Drosophila melanogaster: one gene and its partner. Changing the gene in region 1 together with any one later gene gives a genetic interaction. Each region holds a gene or a part of one and is shown in the gene's direction. Other genes may lie near its edges.

Region 1 (4,339 bases):
AGTCGAATTGTCCAGATAAGCGGATTCAACTGCTCCTATGGCCCCCGGAAGAGTGGTTGATGTTTCAATGATGTCTTCGCAAAGAGGTGCAACTGCTCTCTTTATACCTTCTGAAACATTTTTTTTATCCTTTACATCTGGTAATTCTTCGTCGTGCAAAATTTCGTAGGATTTAGGCTTTAAGGTTGAATCCTTCCCATTGCTTGGGAATTGTTTAGCCGTATCATCACTCTTAGCTCCTTTCTGCAGCAAAAAACGAGGACTGATGGGCTTAAGTTTTTTATATTCCAGAATTTCAATTTGTTGTTTTTTAGTGGGAAATTGAAATATGCGCGGAACATTAAAGGGCATCTCCAAGAGAGGGGAGCGGAACGAAATCGATAGGAGGCTAGCAGCAATGCCAGGACTCTTCTCAATTTGGTCCCCTGCTTTCAGTTGAGATAGTTTATCCGGAATTTTGTTGGACTCCAAGTGTGTTTTGTCCTGTTGCTCCTCTCGAGTTTCGTTTTCCTTCGTTACCACACCAGATTTTTCTGATAGAATGTCAGGCGATGTCTCTTGATTCTTGCTTTCTGACATTTTACCCTCCTTGAGCGTGCATCGAGAAATACTCTTAGGAGCAGGTTCATTCTCTACCTGGTCAGATGCCTCGGGCGATTTGGTCGGTTTCTTGTTTTTGGATTTATTTTTAATCTGAGGAGCAGATTCCTTGTTCTCTGTCTCGATGTTCGCTGACATGTTAGAAACTTCTGTCTGAGTTTCAGGGGCCTTTGGAGTGCCTTTGTTTGTCAAGAGCTTTGATTGTACAGAAGGTCCAGGAGCCATATCTAGCAACTCCTTCTTTCTCACACGAGATGGGTTTTCTGCAATATTTATCCATTCTGAGTTGTTCTGGTTCTTGGAGCGCTTTGAAGGTCGGAGGGGAGTGGAGGCGGTTAGGTGAACCTGTTCCTCGACGGATCGATTCTTGCGCTTTTTACTGGATTTTACAGGAGCAGGGCTCACAAAGGTATCACTATCGTGGCTGGCAAACCGAAAGGCTCTGCAAGGGATGAATATGCTCAAGTAGATCGTAAAAAGAAATAAGCTCACCTACTTGAGTCCTTCGGCAGAGTTCAACACTTTGATAGACTCCCTCGGGGGCAGATAGCATCCATCTGAGGTGAGCAGACTAATGTCCTTCTGTTTGAATGCAATTTATTTAGAATTAGCAGTTAGAGATTCTTAAAAATCTTGCCAAGCTGAAGAGGTTTTGTATGTGGTCCTGGAGGTCCTTGATGTTGTTCCATGCTGCATCGATGAAAACCAACGAATTTCGTCGTTCGTCCTTGAAAAAGTTTGATAGATCCACCTTCATGCTGGAGTGTTGCATTTTTGACTTAGTTTTCTTATGATTAAAATGATTTTAAATGTGCTAGAGATGGAAGTATGTTCGATTTCGTTATCGTTAAATCGATGTGTTTAAATTTCTGTCAAATTAATGTCATATTTTTTGTAGCGATTTATAAAAATAAAGCTTATTTGAATGACAAACTACATTAATATTAAAAAATTGCAATATGGAAAACAATATATTTAAGTCAACGAGATTTTACTTGAAATAATTTAAGTTAGTTTTAAAAATGCCTAAAGCAGAGGGCTGTAATAATGGATAAATTAAAGCTTTGCCTTGCAGAGAATTTAATTTTTTAAACTCCCCTATGTTATCGATAGCATTTACCAGCTACGCACGACCGATAGCGATAAGACAGTTCTTGTGTACAACGAAAACAAATAGTTCTTATCAATAAAGTTAGGCATTGATCACGGCTCCGAATTAGATCAATGATGTAATTCCACCACGAGGAAGCTCCGATCCGATCCGATTCCACTCCAAAATGAGCCACGGCGACCAGAGTCAAAACCAGAGCAGCCAGCGGAGCCAGGCGCTCACTGGCGGTGGTGACTCCCCGAGGGACAGGGAGAAGGAAAAGAAGGGCTGGTTCCACTCGCTGACCAGGCGCAAGAAGTCCGACTCGGCGCTGGCCGTGACTGCATCCGCCGCCGTCTCCACCAGTGGATCGCAGAACAACAACAACGAAGTGTGCGTCCTTGAGGCAGCGGACTCTTCCATGGCCAGCTGCAGCAATGGGGGCACGGGCACAGGAACTCTGCGCAGAAGGCGGGACAAGGACAAGCGAAACGTGTTTGCCAGACTACGAAGGAAGGTGGGCCAAGGGCTCAGCTCCCTGCGAAACTGGCACTCCATGGGCGACTGCGACGACGGCGGAACTACTGATGCCACCTACGAGTTCCTTACGCCGGCCATCTGTCCGGAACCCACGCTACCATTCACACACGACTACTTGCGCTTTATCCGGAAGAAATGGCTTGAGCGCGAGGACGCCCACTCGCCCAACCAGATCATGTACAAGGCCTGCTCCGAGATGCTCAAGTAAGCGCCGTGTTTCTCCGTCCATCAACGATCGATGACTCATGCCCTTTGTTTGTTTTTAGCCAAGTGTGGTACTGGGGTGAGATCTCCAGGCGCGATTCGCAGCGGCAGTTGAGTGACAAGCCGACTGGGTCGTTTCTAGTCCGCGACTCGGAAACCAGCGGATCCCAATTCACGCTCAGCTTTCGGATTGTGAACGTAACCCTGCATTATCGACTGGAATATCGCGACAATTTTTGGCACTTCGAGGAACTTAAGTACGAGTCCATTGTCGAGATGATCGAAGATATCTTGCACCGCTGCACCAACGACAACTTTGTGTGCTTTGTGAAGGTTCCCAACGAGATGCAGCCACCGTTTCCAGTGATCCTCAAGTACCCGTTGAGCCGGTACTCCAACATGCCCAAGCTGCAGGACTTATGCCGCCGTGTTCTGCAGCGCCAGATGTCTCGCGAACAGCTGGCCCAGTTGCCAGTGCCGGCGCAGATGCTGGAGTACTTGTCGGTGGAGCGGGAGCTGGTCTTCCAGAGTTAGGCAACCGCCGCCCGCCGTCGAGAAGCCGCTGGTCAAAGCTTTAACACTGAAGTAAACGCAAGCGCGTACACCAAAGAGGTCCGGGCGAATGGAATCCCAGCCTGCAGTTGTTCGTAATGATATTTGTTGGTCGGATTGGCAATATGTTGTTGATGCATTTCTACGCCCCAGTAACTAAGCGCACAGTCTCTCTTCACGTGCACGCCGGAATCCCAGTGCACAGAATTTTACTGTATTGTACTGCTAAGTACGGTTAGTACTAGTATCTTGTCTAGGATAATGTATTATGTTATTTGCCATATTTAGTCTATTGGTTTGTTTTATATGGGTCCTGGTCAAGTCTATACTCTGCACCACAGTGTGCAAATCCTTAAGCAAATTTTTAAACATTGAACTACTGCATATATGTATTAACGTAAGTTCTAAGCCAGATGTATCGTACTATTTACGTTGTTTGCATTTTTGTATTCCTAACTTGGACACTAACTTTTTGCTAATCTAGATTGCATGGAATTTAGGCAGCTTTACGGCAATCGAATACGTTCAATGCCAATTACTCTTGTTGCAACGTGTATGTATTTTATTTAAATCTATCTATGAATATTTTACAAGAACAAAATATCAATCAACTCCTTGAGCGATCTTGCAGTCAAAGGAGCTCGCAAATAAAGAAAAAATCACACAAATGTATATGTATATTCAGGAGGGGAGATTTTGCTGTTTAATGTCCTCCTCTTCGCCCTCCAGCTCTACATGGTCATACATGCGATAGGCTTTGAACTGGCCCAGCTTGACACCATCCACGTAAAAGAAGCTGAGAAAACATCTGCGGCACAGGTAGGAGGGATCGTGCAGCTGTCGCCGGGACTGGTTCACGATGAAGCTATAGCTGCGAATGCCGCACATATAGCAAGTCCTGCGATTAAACGTACTGAAGGCGTGAGGATAGGGATACAGGCTGCGATCTGGCCGTTTACTAAGTGGCGTTAGCACCTCTACCTGGGAGATCACAAACAGGTGTTCGCAATTGCCGTGGTGCAGGTAGTGTAGCGGTGATCCGGGGCTGACAGTGAGATCGATGAATCTTTTGCCCTCCATACTCTCCACCTTAAGCGTTTCTCCGTTCACTCCGTTCGCTCTGGCAGCCCACTGCAAGACGGTCTTGGAATAGTCGGGATTGTCCGGATTGCGCTGGTCGTTGTAGAATGTGTCGTTGATGAAGAAGTAACCGGGATTTGTGTCAATGGATGGCAACGGTGCATCTGGATCGTCGCTGATGTCGACAAACCGTTTTCCATTGCAAACGCAGCTGATCTTGTCCCGCAGCTCGGTCAGATAATTGCTGCCCAGACATACGAACTCCTCGGCGAA
Region 2 (8,096 bases), on another chromosome or scaffold:
CTACGAGAGGTGGACAACGCCCGTGTGATAAACGCCAACGACCATGCCAACAAACTCACCCACAATCCCACACCGAGGATGGTCTACATCAAACGCAAGAGCAGGGGCAATGGGATCGAGAAGCAGTACCGCTACAAGGTGAGTAGCTGACTTCCACTCCTTACCCGTCATTAGTTCACCTAATGTTTTCCTTTAACCTTCAGTGCCGAAGCTGCAGTCTGCCGCTTTACTATCGCCACAGTCCCGACTCCCACGTAACCTTCGTCATGTCCAATGCCCTAATCCGCAACAAGGGTGAGAGTCCTCTCACACAGCTGCTGAATTCGGAGATCAAGGGCAGTTTCAAGGCACCGGCTGCCAAGCCAGCGACTTCCGCCGGTCCAGACGATTCGGGTATTGTGGATGCCAGTGGCAAGAAGGTCGTCGTCACCAGACACACGAAGAACATGGGCAAGTTCAGCTCGGTCACGGTGTCTACCATCGACGAGGAGGAGGATGAAATCGAGGCGGTAAGTTTGTCAGCTAAAGTTGGTTTGTAAATGGTGCAGGAAATCCAATCTATCATTGCATCATCTACGAACAAACCTACAACTCTTTCAAACTAACCATTTTTTTTGTTCATTCAAACAGCGCGAGATCGCAGACAGCTATGCGAACAACGCAAGGATTATCGAGAAGCAACTGCAGCGCAAAGGCGGAAAATTGAGCGATGTGGGCATCAAAACCAAGACAGAGGACGCACCTCCGCCGCAGAAGAAGCAGCGCGGCACGCTACTGGAAAGATAGTCACACTCTGCCTCCTTATTACCCACAACTAAATATATTTGACGACACAAATGGCTGGCATTCTTGGAAGAAAAATTGCAATTTATCTAGTTATAGCATACGCAAATAGTTTGACCTTCTATGCTGTCGTTTTGGCAGCAAACTGGGATGCTGTGCCAGTAGCTTCTTCAGTCGCTGCTCGGCGTGCTGGTGATTGAGAATCGAGTCCTTGACAAGCCCACAACTGGGACATAGATTGTACTCCGACTTTGACTTTTTGACGATCGCTGGACGCACGCGAGTCTCCATGATCAGCTTCATTCGATTCGTGGTACGCGGCGAGTTGTGCAGAGCAGTGAGTGGACGGCACTTACTTCTTGGCGAGGATTCGGTCCGTTCCAAAGCAGCCTTCTCCTTGCTCCTGACCAGCTCGAGTGCACGATTCGCTCGGGCTTTGGCCAGCTGCAATTCGAGAGGCGCCTTTGGCAGGTTAAAAAAGAAGTGGGTCCACTTATCGCGCAACTGTTCGATGGCCTCCGAGTTGAATAGTGAGCTGGAACGATTGGAGGTATGGGGTCCCCATTCCGCGTTCCCGATGCAACTCAATCTATAAGCGGACATTGAAACCTGAAGTATTATACACTGAAAATTTGACAACAAAGTAAAAGTGTACATATATGTGTATATGTATACTATATACCGTATAGTTATGGTTTTTGGATGGATTGTTTTTCAAATATATAATTATACGAGGGTATAGAAGCTTCGACTTCTGGAAGCTAGCTCCCTAACTGTTTTTGGTTTTTGTATTCTGTTGCATTGCATTGCTTTCATATGTTTAATTGTTTCAACTGAACACATTGTACTTGTTTTCGATTTAGAAGCGTTGAAAGCGGATGTATCTTACATTATCCAAGTAAAATAAGGGATGAGTCGATATGTATGTTGCATATCTCCTTACGATTTTAGATAAGGAAAGACATTTTATAAATATAAATATAAATTTCTTGAAATATAAACATTGAAGAGATAATTAAATTCATTTTTTTTGGGTAAATTATAATATATTTTAAACCTGCTCGTTGCAATTTAAATTCAAAATGCTTCTTCTTCTGCTAAAAAAGCCATTCAACACGAATGCTCTCTACATTGGATTTTTTAGTACATTCTTAAGCATCGAATCAGGGCTGGTCGCGAGCATTTACTGGATTTAGGCAGTGCCGCACTCTGGTCACACCGCGAAAAATATTATATTGAGTTGAAGATTATATTATACATATATATATCGAAGATACATATTCTGAAAACAAGTGCTGAAGCCCAAGCGATTTGCAAACGAAACGGACGCGCGAGCCCCGTTCAAGATTCGAAACGAGTTCAGTGCGTGCGCTTGAGTGTGTGTGACTGCCATGCGACGTTCGCCCGGGTGATCCGGCTGTGCCAGGTGCCCCACGGTTCCAGGTTTCCAGTTTCCAGGTTCCGCTCCACTCCACTCGTCGCTGGATTCAGTGCACAACACAGCGGGCGGGGAGGCGGAGGGCAGGCGGCCAACGAAGGTGCTCCACGGCAGGCTCTCGTCGGCTACTCCACGGCGCACAGAATGTTCTCGGGGCCCAGCGGCCATGCCCACACCATTAGCTACGGGGGCGGGATCGGTCTGGGCACTGGAGGCGGCGGCGGCAGCGGTGGTAGTGGTAGTGGCTCACAGGGCGGAGGCGGTGGTATTGGCATTGGCGGCGGTGGCGTGGCTGGGCTGCAGGATTGCGATGGCTATGACTTCACCAAGTGCGAGAATGCTGCGAGATGGAGGGGCTTGTTTACGCCATCGCTAAAGAAGGTGCTGGAGCAAGTGCATCCACGGGTTACCGCCAAGGAGGACGCACTGCTGTATGTGGAGAAACTCTGTCTGCGGCTTCTGGCCATGCTGTGCGCCAAGCCGCTGCCCCATTCCGTGCAGGATGTGGAGGAGAAGGTGAACAAGTCCTTTCCAGCGCCCATCGATCAGTGGGCCCTGAACGAGGCCAAGGAGGTGATCAACTCGAAGAAACGCAAGTCTGTCCTGCCCACGGAAAAGGTGCACACGCTGCTCCAGAAGGATGTGTTGCAGTACAAGATCGATAGCTCCGTGTCCGCCTTCCTGGTGGCCGTGCTCGAGTACATCTCAGCGGACATACTCAAAATGGCCGGCGACTATGTGATCAAGATCGCCCACTGCGAGATCACCAAGGAGGACATCGAGGTGGTGATGAACGCCGATCGTGTGCTAATGGACATGCTCAACCAGAGCGAAGCCCACATCCTGCCCAGTCCCCTGTCACTTCCCGCGCAGCGTGCAAGTGCCACCTACGAGGAGACGGTCAAGGAGCTGATCCACGACGAGAAGCAGTACCAACGCGACCTGCACATGATCATACGCGTCTTTCGTGAGGAGCTGGTGAAGATCGTGTCCGATCCGCGCGAGCTGGAACCGATATTCTCCAACATAATGGACATTTACGAGGTGACGGTCACTCTGCTCGGCTCCCTGGAGGACGTCATCGAGATGTCCCAGGAGCAGAGTGCCCCCTGCGTCGGTAGCTGCTTTGAGGAACTGGCCGAGGCCGAGGAGTTCGATGTGTACAAGAAGTACGCCTACGACGTTACCTCGCAGGCCTCACGGGATGCTCTCAACAATCTCCTGTCTAAGCCAGGGGTAAGTATTGATACCTTCTGTGCGAAGAATTCTACTAAAATCCCTGCTTTTAGGCCTCATCTCTGACCACAGCCGGCCATGGCTTCCGCGATGCGGTCAAATACTATTTGCCCAAGCTGCTTCTGGTGCCCATTTGCCATGCCTTCGTGTATTTCGACTACATCAAGCATCTCAAGGATCTCAGCTCTTCGCAGGACGACATCGAGAGCTTCGAACAGGTACAGGGACTGTTGCATCCACTCCACTGCGATCTCGAAAAGGTAATGGCCAGCCTGTCCAAGGAGCGACAAGTTCCGGTTAGCGGTCGAGTGCGCCGCCAGCTGGCAATCGAGCGGACACGGGAGCTCCAAATGAAGGTGGAGCACTGGGAGGACAAGGACGTGGGCCAGAATTGCAATGAATTTATTCGCGGTAAGTGCTGGCAACGAAAGTTACTTGCATCCTCCAACTAAAATGGTATTTCAAATTTACAGAGGATTCGCTGAGCAAACTTGGATCGGGAAAACGAATCTGGAGCGAGCGCAAGGTATTCCTCTTCGACGGGCTAATGGTGCTATGCAAGGCAAACACCAAGAAACAAACACCATCGGCAGGAGCAACGGCCTACGACTACCGACTGAAGGAGAAGTATTTCATGCGACGCGTGGATATCAACGATCGACCGGACAGCGATGATCTGAAGAACAGTTTTGAGTTGGCACCCCGGATGCAGCCGCCCATTGTGCTGACCGCCAAGAATGCACAGCACAAGCACGACTGGATGGCAGACCTGCTGATGGTTATCACCAAGTCGATGCTGGACCGGCACTTGGACAGCATATTGCAAGACATCGAGCGAAAGCATCCGCTGCGGATGCCCAGTCCGGAGATTTACAAGTTCGCGGTGCCGGACAGCGGTGACAATATCGTGTTGGAGGAGCGCGAAAGCGCAGGAGTGCCGATGATCAAGGGAGCGACGCTTTGCAAGCTAATCGAGCGCCTCACCTATCACATCTACGCCGATCCGACTTTTGTGCGCACCTTCCTCACCACATATCGCTACTTCTGCTCGCCGCAGCAATTGCTGCAACTGCTGGTGGAACGCTTTAACATACCGGATCCCAGCCTGGTCTATCAAGACACGGGCACAGCAGGTGCGGGTGGAATGGGCGGCGTTGGCGGTGACAAGGAGCACAAGAACTCGCATCGCGAGGACTGGAAACGATATCGCAAGGAGTACGTGCAGCCAGTGCAGTTTCGAGTGCTCAACGTACTGCGCCATTGGGTCGACCATCATTTTTACGATTTCGAGAAGGATCCCATGTTGCTGGAGAAGCTGCTGAACTTTCTGGAGCACGTGAATGGCAAATCGATGCGCAAGTGGGTGGATTCCGTGCTTAAGATTGTTCAGAGAAAGGTGAGTAGTTGGTCAACAGCATAATGTGGAAGTATCGTTATCATTTTTCAAATATTATTTACAGAACGAGCAGGAGAAAAGCAATAAAAAGATTGTATACGCCTATGGCCACGATCCGCCGCCCATTGAGCATCACCTTAGTGTACCCAACGACGAGATAACGCTCCTCACCCTGCACCCACTGGAACTGGCCCGTCAGCTCACTCTACTGGAATTCGAGATGTACAAGAATGTAAAGCCGTCTGAGTTGGTCGGATCACCCTGGACGAAAAAGGACAAGGAGGTGAAGAGCCCTAATCTACTGAAGATAATGAAGCACACCACGAACGTCACCCGCTGGATTGAAAAATCCATCACCGAAGCGGAGAACTACGAGGAACGCCTGGCTATTATGCAACGCGCAATCGAAGTGATGATGGTGATGCTGGAATTGAACAATTTTAATGGAATCCTCTCGATTGTCGCGGCTATGGGCACGGCATCTGTTTATCGACTGCGGTGGACATTCCAGGGATTGCCCGAACGCTACAGAAAATTCTTGGAGGAATGCCGCGAGCTCAGCGACGATCATCTCAAAAAGTATCAGGAGCGATTGCGATCCATCAATCCGCCTTGTGTGCCATTTTTCGGTCGCTACTTGACCAACATACTCCACTTGGAGGAGGGTAACCCCGACCTGCTAGCCAACACAGAGCTAATTAACTTTTCCAAACGACGGAAAGTGGCCGAGATTATTGGCGAGATTCAACAGTACCAGAACCAGCCATACTGCCTCAACGAGGAGTCCACAATACGACAGTTCTTCGAGCAACTGGATCCGTTTAACGGACTGTCCGACAAACAGATGTCCGACTATCTCTATAACGAAAGCCTGCGCATTGAGCCAAGGGGCTGCAAGACAGTGCCGAAATTCGTAAGTATAATGCTTCAAAGTTTACAAGTCATATAGGAAATTTAACCATTTTCCTTTCGTAGCCTCGAAAATGGCCGCACATTCCGCTCAAATCGCCGGGCATCAAGCCGCGTCGCCAGAATCAGACCAACAGCAGTAGCAAGCTGTCGAACAGCACGTCGTCCGTGGCGGCGGCAGCGGCAGCATCGTCAACGGCCACCTCAATAGCTACGGCATCGGCGCCATCTTTGCACGCCTCCAGCATAATGGATGCGCCAACAGCAGCAGCAGCTAATGCTGGATCTGGAACTCTCGCTGGCGAGCAAAGTCCGCAGCACAATCCGCACGCTTTCTCCGTTTTCGCCCCTGTTATTATACCCGAACGGAACACCAGCAGCTGGAGTGGAACGCCACAGCACACTCGAACGGACCAGAACAACGGGGAGGTTTCGGTGCCGGCGCCACATCTCCCCAAGAAACCGGGCGCGCATGTCTGGGCTAACAACAACTCGACACTGGCCAGTGCGTCGGCAATGGATGTTGTGTTCAGTCCAGCGCTGCCGGAGCATCTGCCACCGCAGTCCCTGCCGGACAGCAATCCATTCGCATCGGACACGGAAGCTCCACCGTCGCCGCTGCCCAAGCTAGTGGTCAGTCCGCGTCACGAAACCGGCAATCGATCACCATTCCATGGGCGCATGCAGAACAGCCCAACGCATAGCACTGCCAGTACCGTGACCCTTACAGGCATGTCTACATCGGGCGGGGAGGAATTCTGCGCGGGTGGATTCTACTTTAACAGTGCCCATCAGGGACAGCCGGGGGCAGTGCCCATCTCGCCGCATGTCAACGTTCCGATGGCCACCAATATGGAGTACCGAGCAGTGCCGCCTCCACTGCCACCCAGACGCAAGGAGCGCACTGAGAGCTGTGCGGACATGGCGCAAAAGCGTCAGGCGCCAGACGCACCCACAGTAAGTAGCCTCACTTACTTCTAATTTGTAGTAGCAGATGACAGCAATCATTTTACGTATCCTTGCAGTTACCCCCGCGTGATGGCGAACTCAGTCCGCCGCCGATACCGCCACGGCTCAACCATTCCACGGGCATCAGCTACTTGCGACAAAGCCACGGCAAGAGCAAGGAGTTTGTGGGCAACAGCAGTCTGCTCCTGCCCAACACCAGCAGTATTATGATACGCCGCAACTCGGCGATCGAGAAGCGGGCAGCGGCAACTAGCCAGCCAAACCAGGCGGCGGCGGGACCCATCAGCACGACACTAGTGACCGTGTCGCAGGCAGTGGCGACGGACGAACCGCTGCCGCTACCGATCTCGCCAGCGGCAAGCTCCTCGACGACCACATCACCGCTGACACCCGCCATGTCGCCCATGTCTCCCAACATTCCCAGCCATCCGGTGGAGAGCACGTCGAGCAGCTATGCCCACCAACTGCGAATGCGGCAGCAGCAGCAGCAGCAGACGCATCCAGCGATCTACTCGCAGCACCATCAACATCATGCCACCCATCTGCCGCACCATCCGCACCAGCACCATTCGAATCCGACGCAGTCGCGCTCGTCCCCCAAGGAGTTCTTTCCGATTGCCACGAGCCTCGAGGGCACACCCAAACTTCCACCAAAACCTAGTCTAAGCGCTAACTTCTATAACAATCCAGGTGAGTGCTACCAACTCGGCCCGTGATAACGTGTTTCCTAACCCAACCATCCTATCCGTTTGCAGATAAAGGTACGATGTTTCTTTACCCAAGTACAAACGAAGAATAATTTAAATTGCCTGGCGATGTGATAAGGACGAAAACTACGAGTATGATCCGTAAGATTCAAAGTTGCGAGCACTGCTTGAGTGCAGATATATATATGAGAGAACGGAACGTGAGATATATATATATATATATACATATATACGTAGGCGCAGTTTATGTATTCTAGTATGAAACGAGTTGGAACCGCTGATTTAGATTATTCGCCACTCATTTAACAAGGTAGAACAGACAGACAGACAAAATACGCTCTCATTTACACACAACAGGCACGCGCATATGGATAGGAATGCAGGACACACAAACCAAGCAAGCAACCAAGCAACCAACAAGAAATGCAAACAAGAAATTATGTTATTATATAATTACTATTATAAATATTTGTAAATATCGAGAACATTGTATTGATCGTAGAACGTAAAACAATAAAGTATAACCCTATTGTTAGACACTTGGCGACATCTTTCGATGACCAGAAATATAGAGTATTGTAGCCAAAGTCAAGGCAATCTGAGCAAATAGCATAGATTATCAAGGCTTTTCCAACGTTTAAAGATCGTGGGTATTCTT

The links.
Region 2: of Socs44A (region 1) and Sos, changing one suppresses a phenotype caused by changing the other (phenotypic suppression), as found in Drosophila melanogaster (one study listed by BioGRID).

Annotation. Positions count from the first base shown.
Region 1 is NT_033778.4:8,125,828-8,130,166, forward strand, and holds Socs44A (suppressor of cytokine signaling at 44A), read left to right. Parts: upstream 1-1,747; 5' UTR 1,748-1,877; coding exon 1,878-2,434; intron 2,435-2,496; coding exon 2,497-2,968; 3' UTR 2,969-3,649; downstream 3,650-4,339. Other genes in the region: coil (coilin), read right to left, coding at 1-1,042, 1,097-1,182, 1,238-1,372; Pbp49 (PSEA-binding protein 49kD), read right to left, coding at 3,668-4,339.
Region 2 is NT_033779.5:13,811,849-13,819,944, forward strand, and holds Sos (Son of sevenless), read left to right. Parts: upstream 1-1,967; 5' UTR 1,968-2,365; coding exon 2,366-3,457; intron 3,458-3,510; coding exon 3,511-3,868; intron 3,869-3,930; coding exon 3,931-4,853; intron 4,854-4,917; coding exon 4,918-5,766; intron 5,767-5,828; coding exon 5,829-6,719; intron 6,720-6,787; coding exon 6,788-7,421; intron 7,422-7,486; coding exon 7,487-7,530; 3' UTR 7,531-7,976; downstream 7,977-8,096. Other genes in the region: CG16865 (uncharacterized protein), read left to right, coding at 1-138, 204-509, 631-786; CG16888 (uncharacterized protein), read right to left, coding at 877-1,386. UniProt on the Drosophila melanogaster protein: Promotes the exchange of Ras-bound GDP by GTP. Functions in signaling pathways initiated by the sevenless and epidermal growth factor receptor tyrosine kinases; implies a role for the ras pathway in neuronal development.